Rattus norvegicus: one gene and its partners. The protein of the gene in region 1 interacts with the protein of each later gene in a biochemical or structural test. Links are inferred from orthologs where the notes say so. Each region holds a gene or a part of one and is shown on either strand. Other genes may lie near its edges. The genes, in order: Ret, Grb10, Tln1 and Lrrk1.

Evidence for each region.
Region 2: the proteins of Ret (region 1) and Grb10 form a complex in vitro, tested with the Homo sapiens proteins (2 studies listed by BioGRID). The link is inferred for Rattus norvegicus from reciprocal best matches to the Homo sapiens genes RET and GRB10.
Region 3: the proteins of Ret (region 1) and Tln1 interact in a surface display test, tested with the Homo sapiens proteins (2 studies listed by BioGRID and IntAct, with this or other methods). The link is inferred for Rattus norvegicus from reciprocal best matches to the Homo sapiens genes RET and TLN1.
Region 4: the proteins of Ret (region 1) and Lrrk1 form a complex in vitro, tested with the Homo sapiens proteins (2 studies listed by BioGRID and IntAct, with this or other methods). The link is inferred for Rattus norvegicus from reciprocal best matches to the Homo sapiens genes RET and LRRK1.

The regions. Positions count from the first base shown.
Region 1 is NC_086022.1:153,015,616-153,020,452, reverse strand, and holds part of Ret (proto-oncogene tyrosine-protein kinase receptor Ret isoform a precursor), read left to right. Parts: intron 1-232; coding exon 233-358; intron 359-956; coding exon 957-1,067; intron 1,068-1,739; coding exon 1,740-1,859; intron 1,860-2,416; coding exon 2,417-2,673; intron 2,674-4,837. UniProt on the Homo sapiens protein: Receptor tyrosine-protein kinase involved in numerous cellular mechanisms including cell proliferation, neuronal navigation, cell migration, and cell differentiation in response to glia cell line-derived growth family factors (GDNF, NRTN, ARTN, PSPN and GDF15).
Region 2 is NC_086032.1:90,813,093-90,818,535, reverse strand, and holds the start of Grb10 (growth factor receptor-bound protein 10), read left to right. Parts: upstream 1-2,148; 5' UTR 2,149-2,354; intron 2,355-5,443.
Region 3 is NC_086023.1:62,592,476-62,597,312, reverse strand, and holds part of Tln1 (talin-1), read left to right. Parts: exon of another isoform or gene 1-198; coding exon 199-327; exon of another isoform or gene 328-481; coding exon 482-598; exon of another isoform or gene 599-683; coding exon 684-797; exon of another isoform or gene 798-986; coding exon 987-1,121; exon of another isoform or gene 1,122-1,249; coding exon 1,250-1,378; exon of another isoform or gene 1,379-1,546; coding exon 1,547-1,649; exon of another isoform or gene 1,650-1,753; coding exon 1,754-1,962; exon of another isoform or gene 1,963-2,298; coding exon 2,299-2,418; exon of another isoform or gene 2,419-2,575; coding exon 2,576-2,773; exon of another isoform or gene 2,774-2,892; coding exon 2,893-3,032; exon of another isoform or gene 3,033-3,066; intron 3,067-3,189; coding exon 3,190-3,283; intron 3,284-3,366; coding exon 3,367-3,456; intron 3,457-3,566; coding exon 3,567-3,689; intron 3,690-4,519; coding exon 4,520-4,663; intron 4,664-4,837. UniProt on the Homo sapiens protein: High molecular weight cytoskeletal protein concentrated at regions of cell-matrix and cell-cell contacts. Involved in connections of major cytoskeletal structures to the plasma membrane.
Region 4 is NC_086019.1:129,260,551-129,265,387, reverse strand, and holds part of Lrrk1 (leucine-rich repeat serine/threonine-protein kinase 1), read left to right. Parts: intron 1-181; coding exon 182-333; exon of another isoform or gene 334-2,385; coding exon 2,386-2,503; exon of another isoform or gene 2,504-2,528; intron 2,529-3,444; coding exon 3,445-3,561; intron 3,562-4,837.

The DNA of each region.
Region 1 (4,837 bases):
TCCTTTGCTGTGGTCACCGTCATATCCTCCTGTCCTTATGTTTACCAGAAGGGCTCAGCAGACAGGAGCTAATGAGAGCCTCTGGCTCTGGTGCCTCAGTCCCTTTCACAAATACCCTAGTTACCCCAGAACCCATGGACAGTGGAACTGTTGTTACACTCTGTCCGTTTCAGAGGTCTGGAGACTGGGCCCACACCAGTCCCAGTGACCTTGGCTTGTCTGTCCCTCCCAGACATTGCAGAAGAAGTGGGCTGCCCCAAGTCCTGTGCAGTAAACAAGAGGCGACCTGAGTGTGAGGAGTGTGGTGGCCTGGGTTCTCCAACTGGCAGATGTGAGTGGCGTCAGGGAGATGGTAAAGGTAGGTTCGGGAGCTGGCAGGGGGTGGGATGGGGCTGGGGAGGAGGATGGGGGAGGAGAGCTGGGTAGGGGCCATCCTGGCTGCCGTCAGGAGTGAGTTCGTACAAGGTCTGCTAGTCCCTCATTTAGCTTCCCTGATCCCTGTCTTCTAAGCCTGTCCCTCCTGTGGAACCAGTGCCAGCAGAGGAGGCAGGGCTTGTGCCACCTCAATTAGATTCACTCTGGGGACCACTATACCAGAGCTGGGACCGACAGGGGACAGAGTGGTTCTTCCAGAAAGTCCCAGCCAGAAAGTGTTTCTGCCTCACTACAGGTTCACCTCCCGCTTTAAGGTGCTTGTGGCCAATATAGCTTTGACAGATCCTTGCCTTTAAGTGGCTTCCTTAGAGGAAGGCTATCTGCAGTCCTAGAATGCCCGGCACTTCAGCCCTTGGGGGACCCCTTGTCATTCCTTGCTGGTGTCTGAGGTGTATGTGGCGTTACTCAACTTGTCCCTTCATCTCGCTGTCCCTAGAGAGGCAAGGTTGGACCATGACAAAGGCAGACCATGGAGGGATATGCCCATGCAGGGTGACAGCCTGTTTTGTACTCCATCACAGGGATCACCAGGAACTTCTCCACCTGTTCTCCTAGCACCAGGACCTGTCCTGATGGCCACTGTGATGCTCTGGAGAGCCGGGATATCAACATTTGCCCCCAGGACTGTCTCCGTAAGCCCAGGCTAGGCCCAGGGTGATGCATTTTACCAGTGTGCAGGGAAGGGTCAAGGCAAGGGAGCTGGCAGCGGAGAGCTTGGAAGCCCTAACCTACACCTGAACCCAGGCTGGAGCCTCAAGTGTCTATAGGATGCTTCAGGCCAGCTGGGGGTATTGCACGAGCTTAGCATATGTAGGGCCATGGCTTCACCTTAGCACCAAAGAAGAACAGTGTGTAATAGTAGTAGGTTCAACCAAGCAGGATGTGCCAAGCCAGTCCTGCTACCATCTCATTTGAATGCTGGCTGTGCTCCCCCAGGACGGGGCTTGTGCAGCCTGGCCTGTCTATCCTTGACTGACTCATGAAGCTGCAGTCCCCGGCCTGCTGGCTCAGGACCCACGTTGTCTCTGGTCCATTTCCTCCATCTTTACTGTTACTGGGGGCTAGCTGTGGTTGATGCCTTCCGGGACCTCAGCAGTGATTCTAAACAATCTTGGCTCCCCCCTACTTCCATAGCCAGTATAGGGGTATTGTGTTAAACTCTGCCCAGGTGAAAGGGGCTTCCGAGCCTACTGCCTTCACTGGGCCTAAGCGACTGACCCCGAGTTGGGAAGGCTAATCACAGTCCGAGGACTCTGAGGCATCAGGCCACACCAGGAGACTGAATATTCCACATATGTCCTCAGGTGGCCCCATTGTTGGCGGGCATGAGCGAGGGGAGCGCCAGGGGATTAAAGCCGGCTATGGCATCTGCAACTGTTTCCCTGATGAGAAGAAGTGCTTCTGCGAGCCAGAGGACAGCCAGGGTAAGGAGCACCTCTCACAGGGCTCTCTGACTTCCTCAAACCCTCAAGGAAGCTCTGAGCAACATTTGTGTGGTTCAGCAAGGGAAGAGACTATGGGGAGGCAGTTAGACCCCAGGAGGCTGCTCCTTCCCTTTGGGCCCATTTTACCATTGGCACCACCATGAATCGGGGTCAGAATCCCTATAAAGCATATCCTAGCCACAATTCTCAATAAAGGATGCTCAGGAAAGCAGTCCTTCCAAGTAACTTGGTCAGATTTCCCGGACAGGGTCTTGCTTAGCCTCTGGTATTATGGAAGTGTCCTGGAATTTGGCTCACTCTAGGACCTCCCTGTCCAAAGCCTGTGATCCTTTCTTTCTTTGTCCTACCTTTCTATACTGACTATTCAGACATTTGCAACAGGAAAACAGGATAGCTGGTGTTGAGTGCAGTCTTCACACCACTGTTTGTACTGTGAGAGGTTTGACAGTAGGAGAATTGGTACAGCGGTGCCTGTACCCAGTCAGTAGCATCTCAGACGGTCACAGTGCAGTCCCTGTCACTCTGCCCTGCCACAGGCCCATTGTGCGATGAGCTGTGCCGTACGGTCATCACAGCCGCTGTCCTCTTCTCCTTCATAATCTCTGTCCTGCTGTCCACCTTCTGCATCCACCGCTACCACAAGCATGCGCACAAGCCACCCATCGCGTCAGCCGAAATGACCTTCTGCCGGCCGGCCCAGGGCTTCCCAATCAGCTATTCTTCCTCGGGCACCCGCCGGCCCTCACTGGACTCCATGGAGAACCAGGTCTCTGTGGACTCTTTCAAGATCCCGGTAAGGGGCCCCAAGAGGTAGGTGGACAGTGTTGGAGGAAACATGGCCACAGAGGCTTTCTTTACTACTTGGGGTGCCCACAGATGGTTGATATAGCCTTACGTAGATCCCCGTCGCATAAGGGCAAGAGCAGGGGGTTGCTTGCCTTCCAGGGCTGTGAAGGCAGACTGTCTAGGAAGGAAGTGACAGGTGCTGATTCAGATAGGACTGGCTGGGGTCTGAGATGTGGGCCTTGAGGTCCTGGTGAAAGTGAGCGTGGTCCTACCTAGCAGGGGAGGTGTGAGCAGAAGCCCCGAGAGAGAGGACCAGTAATTTCTACCCACACACAGGCATGCATACACTCATGCCCACCCAGCAAGTGTTTTATGTCAAGAGTAGGAACAGTGGAAGAGGCCCATGTTCTATAGCCCTACAATAGGCTTACCCATTGAGAAGAGGGGTGGGATGGGGATGGGGCAGAGTGTGTGGGGATCATAAAGAAGTGCTGACCCAGAGGTCCAGGGTAGCAGGAGTATATAGGGTAGATACCCCAACATGGAAGGGGGAGGCACTGGGCGCCCAGAAGAAAGCCCCAGCCACTCTTGAGATGGACAAACCTTTCCGTGGGTGCTGCTCAAGACCGGACTACCACTGAGGCCTCCCTATCATGGTCATGTCTTCTCTGTGGTTGCCATGTATGTGTCTGCCCTCACATTCGGGAAGACCCTGCCCCTTCAGCACCCTGGTTATCTGTTCGGGATTTGGAAGCCAGGGTGCTCTGGGAACAGCTAGGACAGTGTTATGGAGACAAGCGCTATGAATAGAGAAAGCCACAGGTTTGGGTGGAGGGACTGTGATGCAGACACCTGTGGGAGCACCCAGTGGCCATGGACCCCTGGCAGTTTGAAGTGGCTATGAAGTGGCCTTAGGTGGCTAGGGGGCCCTACCTTTCCCAGGCCTACGTGAATGACACCCAGCCCTCACACAGGGCTGGAGAAGTTCTTCCTACATGTGCTCTTTGCCTCTCTTGATCCTAGTGTGTGGTTCCTCCTCTGGCTGTAGCTGGATCTGCAGCAGGCTTCTAGACTAAGCCACCAGAGCTCTCTGTAACCCAGATAGCACCGGGAGGCTGCATAGCAAGGCCATATCATGTAAACAAGGGCAGAGGCACACACACGCTCCACACGTCTGCTCCAGAGTTAGCCTGGTGCCCAAAAGCTATACCCACAGAAGCCCCATGACTCAACCATTCAGCCTGATTTCCCTAATGTAAAACATGGAGAGTTGGTACTGTGACTCATTCCTCTAATTCCAGCACTCGGGGGGAAAAAAGGGAAGAAGATCACGAATTCAAGGCTAGACTAGGCTGACACAAGCAAACAAAACAGTAAAGATACTGATTTCTCTCAAATCTTTAAAGGAGCAAATTCATACCATTTCCACGTGCTTAGCATAGTCTCTGGTATGTGCCTTGGACATGTTTCTAGTGGCAGCAGTGGAGGTGTGACAGTAGGTGCGCGACACCAGTGATATCCGTGCCTTCTTCACATTCAGGGGGCTTCACAAAATATCAGGGTCACTTAGGAGTTTGCAAGAACGTGTGTTTGTGTGCTCAAAGGAGTATATATCTCTACAGGCCACGTATATGAATGTATATAAATCAGATAGATATGTATATCAGATGTATATAAATAGCCTTTGGCCTGGAGCCATGTGTCCTTTTAGGCCAGCTTTGTAGTTGGGGAAGCCTTAAAGAGCCTTGTAAACAGAAACCCGAGGTCTGCATGTGCGGGCACAGAGGTGGTATCCAGTGTGGTGCCAGCACCACGGGGTGGTCTTCTTACAGGATGGTACTTGGCTGGTAAGAATCTAGAAATGCGGGGTTGGGGATTTAGCTCAGTGGTAGAGCGCTTGCCTAGCAAGTGCAAGGCCCTGGGTTCGGTCCCCAGCTCCGAAAAAAAAAAAAAAAAAGGTAAAAAAGAATCTAGAAATGAATCCAGAGCAGCCATGATTGGGCCTGATACATGGAAGGGACTTGAGTAGGATGCTGGGAGCTGGAACTGGGGTGTATGTGTAGTGAAGTGGGGTGCACAGGACGGACCACAGGAGGAACAGCTGCCTCCTACTTCAGGATGGGAGTTTGCCCGGGAGTTCAGTGGTGCCTTTCTTTAACAGTCAGCTGCAC
Region 2 (5,443 bases), on another chromosome or scaffold:
CTGTTTTCGTGCCTTAACACCCAAGGTCTAGTTCATATATTACTCCTTTGGGAAGTCTGTGAGCTACAAAGCCATCCTGTCTTGCTCAGGAGGCTGAGTCCTCTGGGCTCATTTATACACTGCTAACCTTACAACGTGCGGGTCTGTCTGTAATACCTCTGTGGGGGAATGTGTGGGCAGGGGGCGCTGGGAGTCTGGAGATGAGATGGTAGTAATGTAGTCTGCTCACAGAATCGGCCAGGACCTCCCTCTCCACCGGAGTTAACTGAAACCCTAATGCTACAGCAAGGATAAGGCCAAAACCTTTGTTCAGAAAGGCGCTATGTGGGTCCTACCGGCTGAGGTCTACAGGGAACAAGGAAATTTGGGGGTGAGGGCCTGTCCAGGACTTTGACACCAAGAAAATACTTGATCTCCAGACCATCCTAGTGAGTAAGAATGCCTGAAAAACACAGATTAAACTTTTCGCCTAGAGCACTAGACTGGTCTGTAAGGAAAAAGAATGTTCTAAATTATCAGATAAACTGAAAAAAAAAAACAATTTAAACCTAGATTAAATACGCACACGATTCTGTGGATTTGAAAGGTATGTGGTTGTTATATAAGAAAACATCTCCATGTTTGGGAAGGCAACATCAATGTGTAGAGGGCTGAAGGGTCCACAGTGTTTGGAACTTACCAACAAATCGATTCAGGGGGGAAAAAGTATTGCGAAAGTATGTAGAAACTTTCAAATATCTGTAAAAGTTCCCTGACCTGACAGGCTTTGTGTCTGGGACAGTATGGATCGCTGGTGAGACTTTGCAGGAAAACTAAAAGGTTTGAAGCAAATCAACTTGGGAAAAGTTAGCCCAGTTTTCTCTGCTTTGGTTCGCTTTTGAGTCCTTTGTCTACAAAAGACTTCTTGTGTTCCTTTCCCGGGGAATCGAAGACTTATTTCACATCCTTTCCTCTGGATTTTCACCTTGTGGGTTTCTGAGTCTGGACCAACGGCCAGAAACAGGAGTGAGTGTTCAGTTATAAGAAAGGGAAAACTTTTCATTGATTACATCAATCTGAGGTCGGAAAAACCACGGTTAGAAGCAAGAGGTACCAGAGCAGTGCTCTCAAAAAGCGCGTCGGGACAATACGTGCACAGCACAGCTTTCAAATCCTTGCCCTGAGCTCCCTCCCAGCTTCTCAACCTTCTAGAAGTTACTTCTTAAGAGACTCAGTCTCTCTACTTCTCTACAGTTGCTCTAGAAACAACCTCAGAAGTTTGAGTGAGGGAGAAGTAGGAGAACTCACGAATGTTTCACACCACGTGTCTTCTCGACTACGGTGATTTACGGTTGGGGCTGCTTTTACCAAGCCGAAACTCAAGAAAAAGGTGTAATTATTGGTATCCTATCTGTGCTAGAAAAGCGACACAATATAGACATTAAGAATTATTTCGAAGGGGCCGATCACATAAGCCCTGTTGCCTTTTCGTGGGTCACTTTAGAAACCGGGCACGGCCCGTCTGGGCTTTACTTTCAGGAGGGCCCCACTTCAGAGGTAAAGGACACGAGGCTTGCTAGGCTGCCTCAAGAAACAATGAAGGGCCTCTCAGGCTTCCCTCCTTCGGCTACTCACACGCAGCTGGCGAAACTGAGGCTGAGAAAGGTGAGGCTCGGACCGACCCGCCGTGAGCAAGCCCGAGTTTCCTTGTCCGGGCCCGGGGCTGCCCACGACGGTGTCGGGCGGCCGCAGCCCAGGAAGAATTTGAACTGTGCGGTTGGGGAGTACTTTCTGAGTTTCGAACAATTCCCTTCCGAATGGCCCTTCGGGACAGGTCCGGTCGGTCTTCGCCGGCGCGGCCGCGCACCGGGGCGGTGGCGTGGCGCCGGGGGTCCCGCAAGCTGCGAGCATGGTGGGCGCGCGCCGGCCTGGGCGGGAGAGCATCGTGCCACGCCAACCCCGCGGCCGCTGAGCCCGCGCCCCCCGCGCCACGCCCTGCGCCCAGGCCGCGGCTCCTCCCGCGCTGGCGGCCGCCGAGCGGTCCGGGCGGCGGCGGGAGGAGGAGCAGGAAAAGCGGCCGGGGGAGGAGGAGGCGGAGGCGGTGGCGGAGGCGGGGAGGGCGGGCGGGGCCCGGAGAGTTTAAAGCCCATCGAGGGGGTGGGGTGCGGGGAGGCGGCAGGAAGAGAAGGGCGCTGCGACCAGTGGCGGGCGGGATTCGCGTTCCGAGACCCACGGGAGCACGAAGTTTCCGCGCACCGTCTCACGCACGGCGACTGGGACCGTCCAGTGTCCGTCTTTGCCTTCGGCTTTTTCGCAGGGACTCGTGCAACGTGTGGCCAGCGGCCACGCGGAGGCGACGAGGAGCTGCACGCCAGGTAGGAGTTGGGCGGGGAGCGGCGGCAAGTTACTTTTGTGGTCCGCGCCTCGCGGGGCCCGGCGGCCGGGCGGCTCCCCGCGCCGTCATTGTCTGCGCTCGGGGCCGCCCGCGAACGGGACGCGGGGCCCCGCGAGGCGCGGCGGGCGGAAGGGCGTCGCCTCGGGGGGCTAAGGGACTGAGGGGCTGCGGCGCCCCCGGCCCGCGGCGGGACGGCGCGGGATGGCGGGACGGGACGGCGGGCGCGCGGCTGCGGCGCCCCGCGACGCTCTCCACTGCGCTCTGGCCCCCGGGGGGAGGCTCGGGGCCCCGAGAGGGACATTCTTGAGCCGTCTTGTCCGACGGCGACGGCTCGGGGGGCTCGGGCGGGGGCCGCGGTCAAGGCCGCGCTTTCGGGGGCCACCGCCCTGGAGGGTGGGCGCCCGGGGATCACCGGAGCGGCGGGTACTCCCGCTGCGCCCCCGGCCTCGGCGCGCGCGCCAGGCGGGCCGGGCAGCGGTGCCAGACACTCCCAAGTCCCAAGCGAGCGCGGCCCGGGCCGCGGTCCGAGGATCTGTCCCTACCCCCCCCCCTCGTGCCCCAACCCCCACCCCTTTCTTTCTTCGGGTCTGTTAGTGGCCCCGCTACCCGTCGCTGGGGCCTAACACCAAGTTTGAGGGCTCGCGAAAAAGCAGCCCGCCAGCGGTGGAAACGTGATAAGAGCGGTACCGTTTGCAGAAGGAAATTTCTGATGCAACTCTCCGCCTTTGCTGATTGCCTCTCCAAACGCCTGCCTGGCGAGGGCCTGCGGCATGTGCGTTATGGAAATTAGGGTATTCACTTTTTAAAAAAATTGTATTTGCCTTCTCTTGGCATTGGAAGAAACCCCGCGAACTTCTTTTCATTTGCTTTAACCAAAAAAGTAGGAGCGCCACAGGTGATTTTTACAAGGCCCCGGGTCTTTGGGATGTTTTTGAAAAAACTCTTTTCTTGTAACTGTTTCATTCAAGAGATGCAAAGAAAAAGTCCAAAACAAGTAGCATTAGTGAGTAAATATGTGTTATTGCACAACTTTCCCTTTGCGGCTGTTTAAAAGGCCAGGCCCAGAAGACTTTGTTTCAGAAATTGCTGATTCAGCCATTTGGAGCCCCTGAGTTTCAGAAATGGTGCTCAGTTTAACGTTTCGCTCTCCTTTACCAGAACTCCAGTCGTTAACATCGCCCCCCCCACCTCACCCCCTCGAGAACAGACTAAGGCTTACACTTTAGTGAGGTTCCTATTTTACAGAAGTGGACCTCGAGTTCTGGATTTCTGCAGCTGAGGGAATTGTGTAAGGCGATGGATGAGGCGTCTTAGAACTATTTCACCAAGAGTGCTGCGATCAAATGTGCTCCCAGGAATGAGTCTCGCCTACCAAATTTTTGTCTTTAAAAAAAATCAAAACTTTAGGATTACTGAACATACTTTTTTTTTTTTTTTTGAGTTTTACTGGGAACATTTGAAAGAGGCCAGTCCCCACATTACAGGGAGGGAATTTGAGGACAGACGGAGTTGCAGCCCAGCAGGCGTTGCAGTAACTGAGAAGTGTAGCCACTGATACTGAGGTAGCATTTCGCAGTTTACAAGGCGCTTTCAAAAGCCCTGTTGCTTTTTATGCGCTTCGTGGCCCCCACGGTCCCCATTTTACAGGTCTGGAAACCAAGGCTCAGGAGGTTAACTGGTATGCCTCAGGCCGCACCAGCTAACAAAGGACAAAGCTCTGGGGAGACCTCCTGAGCTTTTTACCGTCTGCAAAAGCATGTCCACTTCTAGAAGAAATGGTGTAGAGGAGGGACACCCTGCTCAACACACAGCAGAGCAAATGGAGGACGGGGCCTGGTTTCTTAGACCAGTTGCTTCCAGCCTTCCAGATTAATGCCACGTAGACCAAGCAATTATCACTGAGGTTTTTCTTTTTTCTTTTTTCTTTTTCTTCTTTTTTTTTAACTTACATACTCATTTACTTTGAGAAGAAACTTCAATATTCATCAAGCCATGAGTTTGATATGATATTTTTGTTCATTATGATTAAAGTTAAAACGCTTCGTGGCACCTAAATCACTTATTACACACTACTTGGCCTATGTTGCTTTTGAACCAGTGTTGGGTTGGTCAAAGTGGATTTTGTAGGCGGACTAGGGAACCAGAAAGCAGGGCAGATTTTTTGGTGGCTAATTGTCTAGGACTTTGGGTGGTGGTTACTGCTATGGTTGGAAGCCAGAGCAGCTGTGTCTGTCCAGTTAGCCTCCACTGGGCAAGAAGGACAAAATCAGAACCAAAGATCCAGCTCAAAATTTAGGATGTGGCTGAACCCGCTGGGTCACAGGCTTTACAGTGTTTCGAAGCCAAACTTTGGTTGAACCAAGCCATCCATGTGCCCTTAGCTCATTTTAGAGCTGTACAGATTTTTGCTTGGCCTATCTTTCTTTTTAAACTGGTATTTTATAGATGGTGTGATTTAGAGAACCTATTTGCTTGAAAGTTTGTTCCACGTGTAAGAAACTACAGGACCGTCGTGTCTATTTGCAACTGTGCGCTGGGGGCAGTTGTCCATCCGTGGAGACTCAGTGCTCCCCGCCGGACATTTCAGTGTTGGCACTTAATAGGAGGGAAGCCTGTGCAGAATCCAGTGTCTGTTTCTCAGCCCGTTAAAACAACATGGAGGGCAGACGAAGCAGCTCAGTGTAGAGCCATGATGAGGCCTTGGCTTTAACTCCAGCTCCAAGTCCTCCTCCCTGGAGAAATTCCCCTCACAAAAACCCACAGCAGTATAGGGCTTTGGAATGAGAAAATATTATTTGCTTTTTATTTAGGGGGTTGGTCACATGCTCAAATTTAAATCTTTTCCGTTAGTGAAGCTGTTTTTGATTGGGGGGGGCATTTTTTTCTTTTTTTTTTCTCTCTTTTTTTTTCCTTTAGGTTCTCTCCTCCTCCTTTTTGGGTTTTTACCCACCATTTTATTTTTTTTTTTTACTTCCTTGTAAAGTTTATTTTTCTCTTCTTTTGGCTTTTTGATTTTGATGTTCCATCAAAGTCGCAGACTTTACAGTGTTCAGAAACTGAACTTCGCTT
Region 3 (4,837 bases), on another chromosome or scaffold:
GGAATTAAGTACCCCGGGACTTCCAACAACATGTCCTTTCTGAAACAGTTTTCAGCTCTCGGCAGTTAAAGCCTCAGTGAAGGTAATTCGAAATTAGACCAGGAAAACAGATTAGCTTTAAACTGGATTTAGAGAAGTCAGAAAAGAGTGCGTTTTGAAATCAAAATAATGATGGATAATGGTTGTGTCTCCTCTCAGGGAGCAGCCGCCCACCCCGACAGTGAGGAGCAGCAGCAGCGACTACGTGAAGCGGCTGAGGGGCTCCGCATGGCCACCAATGCAGCTGCACAGAATGCCATCAAGAAGAAGTTGGTGCAGCGTCTGGAGGTAAGGCTGGTGATCTGGGCAGGGGCCGGCATGGAGACAGAGGGAGGGGTGCCAGGGATGGATGGGTCAAGCCAGTGTTTCCTTAGGGTACACTGAGGGCCTGGTAGGCCAGGGCCTGGGAGTGCCTGGCCTTCTGATTACTCTGTCTTCCCAGCATGCAGCCAAACAAGCTGCAGCCTCTGCTACACAGACCATCGCTGCAGCACAGCATGCAGCCTCTGCCCCCAAGGCCTCTGCAGGCCCCCAGCCACTACTGGTACAGAGCTGTAAGGTAAGTCTCCAAGAGGTATGTGGGAGTGGGGAGGGGTGAGAAGAGGGGTTCCAGAAGGAGGTATTCATGACCTTCTGTCCTTCAGGCTGTGGCAGAGCAGATTCCATTGCTGGTGCAGGGTGTCCGAGGAAGCCAAGCTCAACCTGACAGCCCTAGTGCTCAGCTCGCCCTCATTGCTGCCAGCCAGAGCTTCCTGCAGGCAAGACACTCCACTCCTAAGACCAGAGCCTCCCTCCTATGTTTCCCTAACCTTACATTCCCCACAACCTGAATATCTGCTATTAGCCAAGACCAAACCCGACAGAGTGCTTACTACATCCTGACCAATGTATATTCAAAGGCTAGAGGGAGGGTGACATACCTCATTTGCATATGTGTTCTCCAACAGCCAGGTGGGAAGATGGTGGCAGCAGCAAAGGCCTCAGTGCCAACAATTCAGGACCAGGCTTCAGCGATGCAGCTGAGTCAGTGTGCAAAGAACCTAGGCACTGCCCTGGCCGAGCTCCGCACTGCTGCCCAGAAGGTAGGGCAGCCATTTCTAGCTGTGGAACATAAGGCGCAGCACATAGACGGCTGGGATGGGGAGAAGTCGTAGAGTAGCCTAATCTGCGGCCCAGGAATACAGCCTCCCTGTGCTGCTCACCGCCACAGGCTCAGGAGGCATGTGGACCTTTGGAGATGGACTCCGCACTGAGCGTCGTACAGAATCTAGAGAAGGACCTGCAGGAGATAAAAGCAGCCGCTCGCGAGGGCAAACTTAAACCGTTACCCGGGGAGACGGTGAGGATTCGGCCTTCATGCATGCCCTCGCTTACCCACAGAGTCTGCTCAGCCCCGCTGTAGAGCCTTCATGCAACTGCCAGCCTTCCTTCCCCAAGGACCTTCTCAGGTGCCCTCCCCCCTCTTCCTTCCCCTCCTCCACCTGAGCCTTCATCCCCTTATCTGCAGATGGAGAAGTGTACCCAAGATCTTGGCAACAGCACCAAAGCGGTGAGCTCTGCCATCGCCAAGCTGCTGGGGGAGATTGCCCAGGGCAACGAGAACTATGCAGGTGTGTAGGTATCCAGGGCTGGGAATGGGACGAGGGATGCCGCCTGGAGACGGGGAACTTGTGGGGAAGAGGCTGATAGAGCAAACCTTTCTCTGTGTGCCCAGGTATTGCAGCTCGGGATGTAGCAGGTGGACTAAGGTCACTTGCCCAGGCTGCACGGGGTGTAGCTGCACTGACAACAGATCCTGCAGTGCAGGCCATTGTGCTTGACACAGCCAGTGACGCTCTGGACAAGGCCAGCAGCCTCATTGAGGAGGCAAAGAAAGCATCCGGCCATCCAGGGGACCCGGAGAGCCAGCAAAGGCTTGCCCAGGTCAGTGTTGGGAAGGGGCCCACCCCTTGCTTAGGTCTCTTCACAAGGCCTGCCCAACAGGGCGCACGCTCTTCTACTGCACGTGTTTTCAGTCCAGCTCACAGAAGCATCTGTTAGCCTGAGGCACAAACCTGGCTGAGCAGTGGGTTTGGGATGTTTGTGGGTATTTTGGGATGTGTGATTATTGTCTGTGACCCTAGCCTCAGTTTGTTCAGCTACAGAAGTTCCTTTCTGCCTGTTTTAGTGCCAGGACCTCTGGTTAACTCCTATGTCCCAGAGTAAAAGGGGCTCTCCCAAATCACTCCCTTTGGCAACCCTGTTTCTTTCCCACCTCAGGTGGCTAAAGCAGTGACGCAGGCCCTGAACCGCTGTGTCAGCTGCCTGCCTGGCCAGAGAGATGTGGATAACGCCCTAAGAGCTGTTGGAGATGCCAGCAAGCGACTCCTGAGTGACTCGGTAGGACTGTCTGTCTCATGACCTGTCCTTTGACCCTGCCGTCTGTAGCTTCTTACAAGCCCAGGCTTTGCGCCATCCTCCCTAGCCTGCCTTCCCTTCCTAAACTCTCTTCCCATCATCCCCACTCATCTGTCTGACTTCCCCTCGGACCCTGCAGCTTCCTCCAAGCACCGGGACGTTTCAGGAAGCACAGAGCCGACTGAATGAAGCTGCTGCTGGGTTAAATCAGGCGGCCACAGAGCTGGTGCAGGCCTCCCGAGGAACCCCACAGGACCTGGCTCGGGCCTCAGGTCGATTCGGACAGGACTTCAGCACCTTCCTGGAAGCTGGTGTGGAGATGGCTGGACAGGCCCCGGTACGAAGGGCAGAGGGTCTAGTTGAGAGCAAAGTAGGGTGTTCAGAATCTGGGTCTGCTCCTAGTTCCTTCATCTCTAGTCTAGTAGAACAGAATAATGTATGCCTTCCCTTCAACAGAGCCAGGAGGACCGAGCCCAGGTGGTGTCCAACTTGAAGGGCATATCCATGTCTTCGAGCAAACTTCTTCTGGCTGCTAAGGCCTTGTCCACAGACCCTGCTGCTCCCAACCTCAAGAGTCAGCTGGCTGCAGCTGCCCGGTAAGCTGGACCTGGGAATCTCAGCTCTGGGGACCTATGAGACGGCCAGAGGAGATATTTCATGAGACACCCCCAGCTTAGCAGTAGTAAAACAAAAGAGAAATATATACAACCCCATGCACCTAGGACTCAGTTCCACACTCCCCTTCCCAATCAGGGCAGTGACAGACAGCATCAACCAGCTCATCACCATGTGCACCCAGCAAGCCCCTGGCCAGAAGGAGTGTGACAACGCACTTCGGCAGCTAGAGGTGAGCCTTCGCATGGGAGCTGGGGCGGAGGAGCCGGGGCTGAGGGAGGGTCAGTTGAATGTCATGTTGCTCTCCCTGCACAGACGGTCCGAGAGCTCCTGGAGAACCCAGTGCAGCCCATCAACGACATGTCCTACTTCGGTTGCTTGGACAGTGTCATGGAGAACTCTAAGGTTAGTGGGCCAGGGAGCTCCAGAGAGGCAGGGAGGGAAGGTGACTTAACACTGGTACATTTCTGCTCAGTAGACATGATCAGAACCTCCTGATACCCACTCTTCCTTAGGTCCTAGGTGAAGCCATGACTGGCATCTCCCAGAATGCCAAGAATGGAAATCTGCCAGAGTTTGGAGATGCCATTGCCACAGCCTCCAAGGCTCTCTGCGGCTTCACTGAGGCAGCCGCACAGGTAATGTCCTAAGGTGTACCAGAGAGCAGCTCTTGTTTCCCATGCGTGCTGCTTCTCCCTTTCACGGCTGTCAATCAAGAAGCTAGTGTGAGATGGATCAGGGTCTCCTTCCTGTGGGAGGGCGGTCTCCCTCCTGTGGGGGGTGCTCTCCTTCCTGTAGGAAGGTGGTCTCTCTCCTGTGGGGGGTGCTCTCCTTCCTGTAGGAGGGCGGCCTCCCTCCTGTGGGGGGGTGCTCTCCTTCCTGTAGGAGGGCGGTCTCCCTCCTGTGGGGGGGTGCTCTCCCTCCTGGGGCATGGTCATCAGAAGCTATCGGAAGCCCAGGTTGCTGGGACTCTGTTTTGATCACACTGACCAGCTGTGAGACTTTTATTAACACTGCTGAGGATTGAGCTAGAGTTCAACTGAGCACTGCGTGCATATGCGCGTGCACGCTCTCTCTCTCTCTCTCTCTCTCTCTCTCTCTCTCTCTCTCTCCCTCCCTCCCTCCCTCCCTCTCCCTCTCTGTACTTTGTTTTGTTCATTCTGTGATCCATAAACACACATACTTCTAATGAACCTCAATAAAAATTGTTTGTTTGAGATGGGGACTTACTACTCCTGGCAAACTCACCATCCCCTTTGTCTCCTCGGCATGGGATTATGGGAAAGCGCCACCATACCCAGCCTATTTGCCTTTTAATTTTCTGAAAAGTTTGGGTCGGTTTAACAAGAGGAAAGTTTGTTTTAGGCAGGTTAACTGTGGTTTCTTATAACTGCTTCTCTCCGCACAGAAGAGAAAGAGAAGTCTGTTCTCTAACCCCATCCCTCCACCACTGTTCACTTCTCCCCAGGCAGCATATCTGGTTGGTGTCTCTGACCCCAATAGCCAAGCTGGACAGCAAGGACTGGTGGAACCCACACAGTTTGCCCGCGCAAACCAGGCAATTCAGATGGCCTGTCAGAGTCTGGGGGAGCCTGGCTGTACCCAGGCCCAGGTAATGCAAGAGGACAGGTACCATGGGCAAGGCTGAGAAAGGACTTCAAGAGGAAAGAGGGATCAGAAGCACCTGTGAGGGAGGAGGAGGCCGGGACACATCCCTCACCTTCCACACAGTGCTTGTTTCTGAGTCTTGATGTACTTCTGCATAACACTGAGGAAACATCTTCTC
Region 4 (4,837 bases), on another chromosome or scaffold:
TTTATTTATTTATTTATTTATTTATTTATTTTTGGAGTGGGGGAGGGTGTTCTGAAGCCTTTTCAGTCTTGTGTTAGGCTAATCCCCAAGTGGGAGGAGTCACACACTGCCCTGGCTTGTGCCAGGTGGCCCTGTATGGGGACCCACACAGCTGTGCTCACTATAGACTTTTCTCCCACAGCGTCCCCTGGCCCTGTCTGTGGTGAGCCAGATGAAAGACCCAACCTTCGCCACCTTCATGTACATGCTGCCCTGTGGGAAGCAGTCGTCCTTCTTCTCATCCCAGAGCCAGGAGTACACTGTGGTGTTCTGGGATGGGAAGGAGGAGTCAAGGTAATCTTTTCAGTCTGTACTTCACTACGTATGCCTCAGGTGTCACTGGGAACTGCTGTAGAGTGTAGGGAAGACCCCCTGGGAGGGGGAAAGAATTCCTGAGACCCAGAGGCAGGGCCTGGTAAGGAGAGAGGCCAGAGATGGAGTCTCCATGGAATAGAGGTCTTGGGTGATGGCCTGTGGGGTTGTCCAGCGCATGCTACCCCTCCTTCCCCTGACAGGAGAGCTTTGCACGTTAGTGTAGTCTAGGTGGTCCCAGTGGAGAGCATTTACAGGCCTTACAGTCCGGGAAGACTGAGATGGCGTGAGACTTGAATAGAGTGGGGTCAGCAGAACGGACTCTGAAGTTTGCATGGATCTTATGATCTTAGGTTGTCAGTGGGTAGACATGGACAGAGGGGAAATAAATTCATATTTCCAATTCTTTCCATTGGAGAGGACCAAACAAATGTCACAGGCACTGCAGGGTCTAGATATGGTTTCTAAGTACCAAGAAGCAGGGTTCATCCAATGGCTGGTTCCAGGACTGGGCCTGGACTCCAGAGCCAACCTCTTCCACCCTCCTGAGGATGCTTGCTTTTCCCTTCGTCTCAGACATAGGCACGATGCTGGAGAGAGTTGGACCTGGGGGAAAATGATCTTTCCCAGTAGGAAGAGAGGGTCCGTAAAATCTCCCACCAAAACAGAGGAGGGAGAGTGGGGGCTTCTACCTGGGCACACAGAGCAAGGAACCTGGAGAGAGAAGATCAGATTCCCAGACTGACCCATGGAAGAAGAAAGGAAACGAAGCAGGAAACCAGGGCAACACGACGCCACTGTGGCTAGACTCTGGTCTTTCCGCCATGTTTTTTATTTTTCTTAAGCAACTGTATTTTCAGTATCAAATTTTTTCATTACATGGAAGAAAAGACTAAAACGAGTAGACAGAACTTTGGAGAAAGTTTTGCTTGCAAGTTTTGTATCCATTTTTTTTTCATCTGCAGTTTGCTGTCAGTCAGGGGTGGTGAACACCTTTCAAAATATGACTGCAGAAAAGAGCTTACAGCATGGCTCCTGTCTGAGGCTCCACTTTCTCTCTGACTGGGAGAAAGGGCTGTGTGCTCTCAGGAGTGTGATTAGCCAACTAACCCCTCCCCTACTCTGCTCCGCTCATTGGGGATGTGTGGAGGGGCAGTGGAGCTGGACACATCCAGGCCTGTGAGCCAAGAACCTGCTCTCCTCACTAACTGAGCTGTTCTCAGAGCGACCAGGGTGGAGGCACATCATGAGCTCCACCCAGTCAAGTGTGGACTTCGTACTTCTTATCTTTAGCCTGGGACTGTCTACTCCAATGCAGAGGCTGCCTCTCTTCCTGTGGTGGGCGGGCTCTGGTCAGTGGGAGGGCAGTGAGCAGTCCAATGGAGGTGCTCTAACTCTTCATGGGATGGTTGCCTGAACCCTTGGAGGTCACAAAAGGAAAGGAGGCTGCCTTCCGGTTGGAATGTCCTTTCTCTTCCATGTTCAAGCCTTGCACGGCAGGCAAACCCAGATGTACCCAATGTCATGAATGAAGTCCAGGAGTGCTGCAGGGTAGCAGACCTTTGTATGTGGTTACTTTTGTGTCACTGTCAACAAAATAACTGAGCTGACAGAAACAACTCAATGGTGGATGACTGATCTGGACTCTCTGTGTCCAGACCCTGCCATCTTGGCTCCCCCACACTTGGGAGGAACATCATGGTTCTCCTTTACTTCTGGGAAGACAAGCTGCAGAGAGAGGAAACGAGAAAGACAAACAGAGAAGGTGGGGAGGGAGACTGGGCTCCTGGTATAACCACTGATATAACCACCAGTGTTCCATCTGCTCCAGCTAGCCCCACCCCCCCCCAACGTTCCCAGAGCCTCCCAAAATAGTGCCTACATCTGGGAACCACGTCTTTAAAACATGAACCCGTGACACGAAGGGTCCTTCCTACTTGTATGACTACACCTGTTCCAAGGCCATCCCACTGGCCTGGGGAAGGAGGTGCCCCTGGCTCTCTGCAACTGACCCCATGTTGTTGCCAACCACAGGAATTACACGGTGGTCAACACCGAGAAGGGCCTTCTGGAAGTACAGAGGATGACCTGTCCTGGGATGAAGCTGAGCTGTCAGCTCAAGGTCCAGAGCTCAGTGTGGCTAGCCACCGAGGTAACTGCCAGCCTGCAGGGCCCGTGTCAGGGTGAGCATTAGAGGGGTACAGTTCCCAGGGGTACCAGCTTTGTAAAACTGCAAGATGTCAAGGTCAACTGGACAGAGCTCATCCCTAAAACAATGTCATCGGTCCTGAGAGGTAGGTCACCAGGGGAATTGCTGCTGGCTCCTGCTTGCCACCAGCTGGAAGCTAGGATTCAGGGTAGTTAGAATAGGTAGGGAGTCTCAGCAGGAGAAACTGGGTGAGTTGATGGCATGCCACACCGTGTTTCCTCATGATACTGTGTGGGACACGGAGCATAGCTCATCCCTGAGGATCTTCTGTCTCCATACGCGGAAGTCATTGGAAGACCTAAGTAGCTGTCTTATGAGAAATCCAAATGTTGCCCCAAATCAGATGCTCCAGGGTTATGAGTAGGGAAGGAACATCATAATCCTTCTTCGTGACTGTTTATAAGTATTTGGACCTCCCCAAAACCCATAGATACCCATGGAACTAAAGTGTCAGGAACTGAGTCTGATTTAGGAGAACACACAGACCTCTGAGAATGCCTATCCCAATGTAATTCTTTGTAGCAACAACAAATTGACTAAATATGTTTAAAGATGATGGACAGAAGAGGAGACCCCATATACGTCCTAGAGGGGGTGCAGGGCTCTGCCCGTGGCATGTTCTCACTGTATTGTGGCCCCACTTTGCTAGTGGCTGGTTCGTGCATGGCAAAAGCAAGCTTCTGTCTCCAACTCCTTAGGATCCTCTATGAGTTAACTTTCTTCCAGACTGTATTTTCCAAACAAAAAGCAGAAATGGATTAGCAAGCAAAACCCTGCCTTTTTAAGGTACCAAAGGGGATCCCCAGGCTGAGAGCATCCTAACAGGACACCGTGCCAGTCACTTCCTTATCTGGTTCTCAGAGTGACTTTGTCTGCTCTTGCAGGACCAGAAAATCTATATCTACAGCCTTAAGGGTATGTGCCCATTAAGCATGCCCCAGCAGGCCCTGGACACGCCGGCTGTTGTCACCTGTTTCTTGGCAGTACCTGTTATTAAAAAGGTAAGGTATGGAGAGAGGCATGTTCAGGTCTGTCACCAAGTACGGGAGGGTCTCCTTGCTGGGGACAGTGGATAGAGCTGGGGACTTTCTGGGTCACCTTGCCCAGGTCACAGCCAGCTTTAGAGACAAAGGTGGCCACCATTAACATGGAGTGCCTACCATCCATGAGCACTGGCTTAGAGGAGGCTCATACTGGTGCAGATGATGAAGTAAGCCATTGTAAATGGCACCTTCTCCTGATAAAGGTATCGGGAGCCTCTCCCCTGCCCTGGCCACTGTGTTTTCTGATTAATGGACACAGCTGATTCCCTTTTGTCTGTCTCTGCCTCCTCTCAAAGACTTGCTTCCCAGACCCCAGTCCTTTGCCCAGCTTTGCCCAGCACTGCCCTGCAGACCCACTCCTCACCCCATCCACCCTGTGCTCTCCCCAGCCCCAGCTCCATATCTTAGCACGGAATCTCTTCTCGCTAGGGCTGACAAAGCCATCACTTGACTGGCCCTGGTCCTTCTCCTCCAAACAGTAGACACAGGAGCCTCCCCTTCCCTTCTGGTGAAAGGTCAGGCTGCAGAGCGATGACCTCTCCTCTGAGGGGTTGGCTGGCACTGCTCGCTCTCCTAAGTTCTGCTTCCTTCCCTGGATCTAGTAAGGCCACAGGGGCCTGTGGGTGCAATGGGTGCCTTCCACCCATACACACACGGTACTTCCTAGCACATCTTTTTAAAATGTGCTGAGTGCCCTTATGTGATCTCTGTTTGTCCATCTAAAAGGAGGACAGCAATGGCAATGAAATAGGTCTCTGAGCCTACGGAGCCCAGAGTTCTAGGCTGGGCACTTGGAAGCTAGTGGTTGCTATGACTTCTTTGCATTGCCAAACCTGTGATCTAGTTTCATTTCCTTAGAAAAGGAAAGAGAATAGAAAGAGAAATGAACCTTACAGTCATTTATGATTAGAGCCCCATGGGCAGCCTAGGCAGCTGGGATCTCCCTACACCAGAGAGTGAGAGAACCTGACACAAGGCATTATTGAAGGGCCCGATGGCCAGAGCCCCAGCCGGAGTGCACCTCCTTCCCGAGCAGGGAAAATAAAGCTGACTCTGTGTGAGCCTCCTGAGCAGGGTGCCTGCCCTGTGGAGGCCACACAGGGCAGACCATGCGTGCATTCCTGCACAAGCACACTCACATCCCTCTGAACGAACGTGGTGTTCCCCACGCCAGCCAGCAGAGCCAAGATCCAGAAAGACTTATGGCCTGTTTGCTCTGGCTGCTTTATTGACC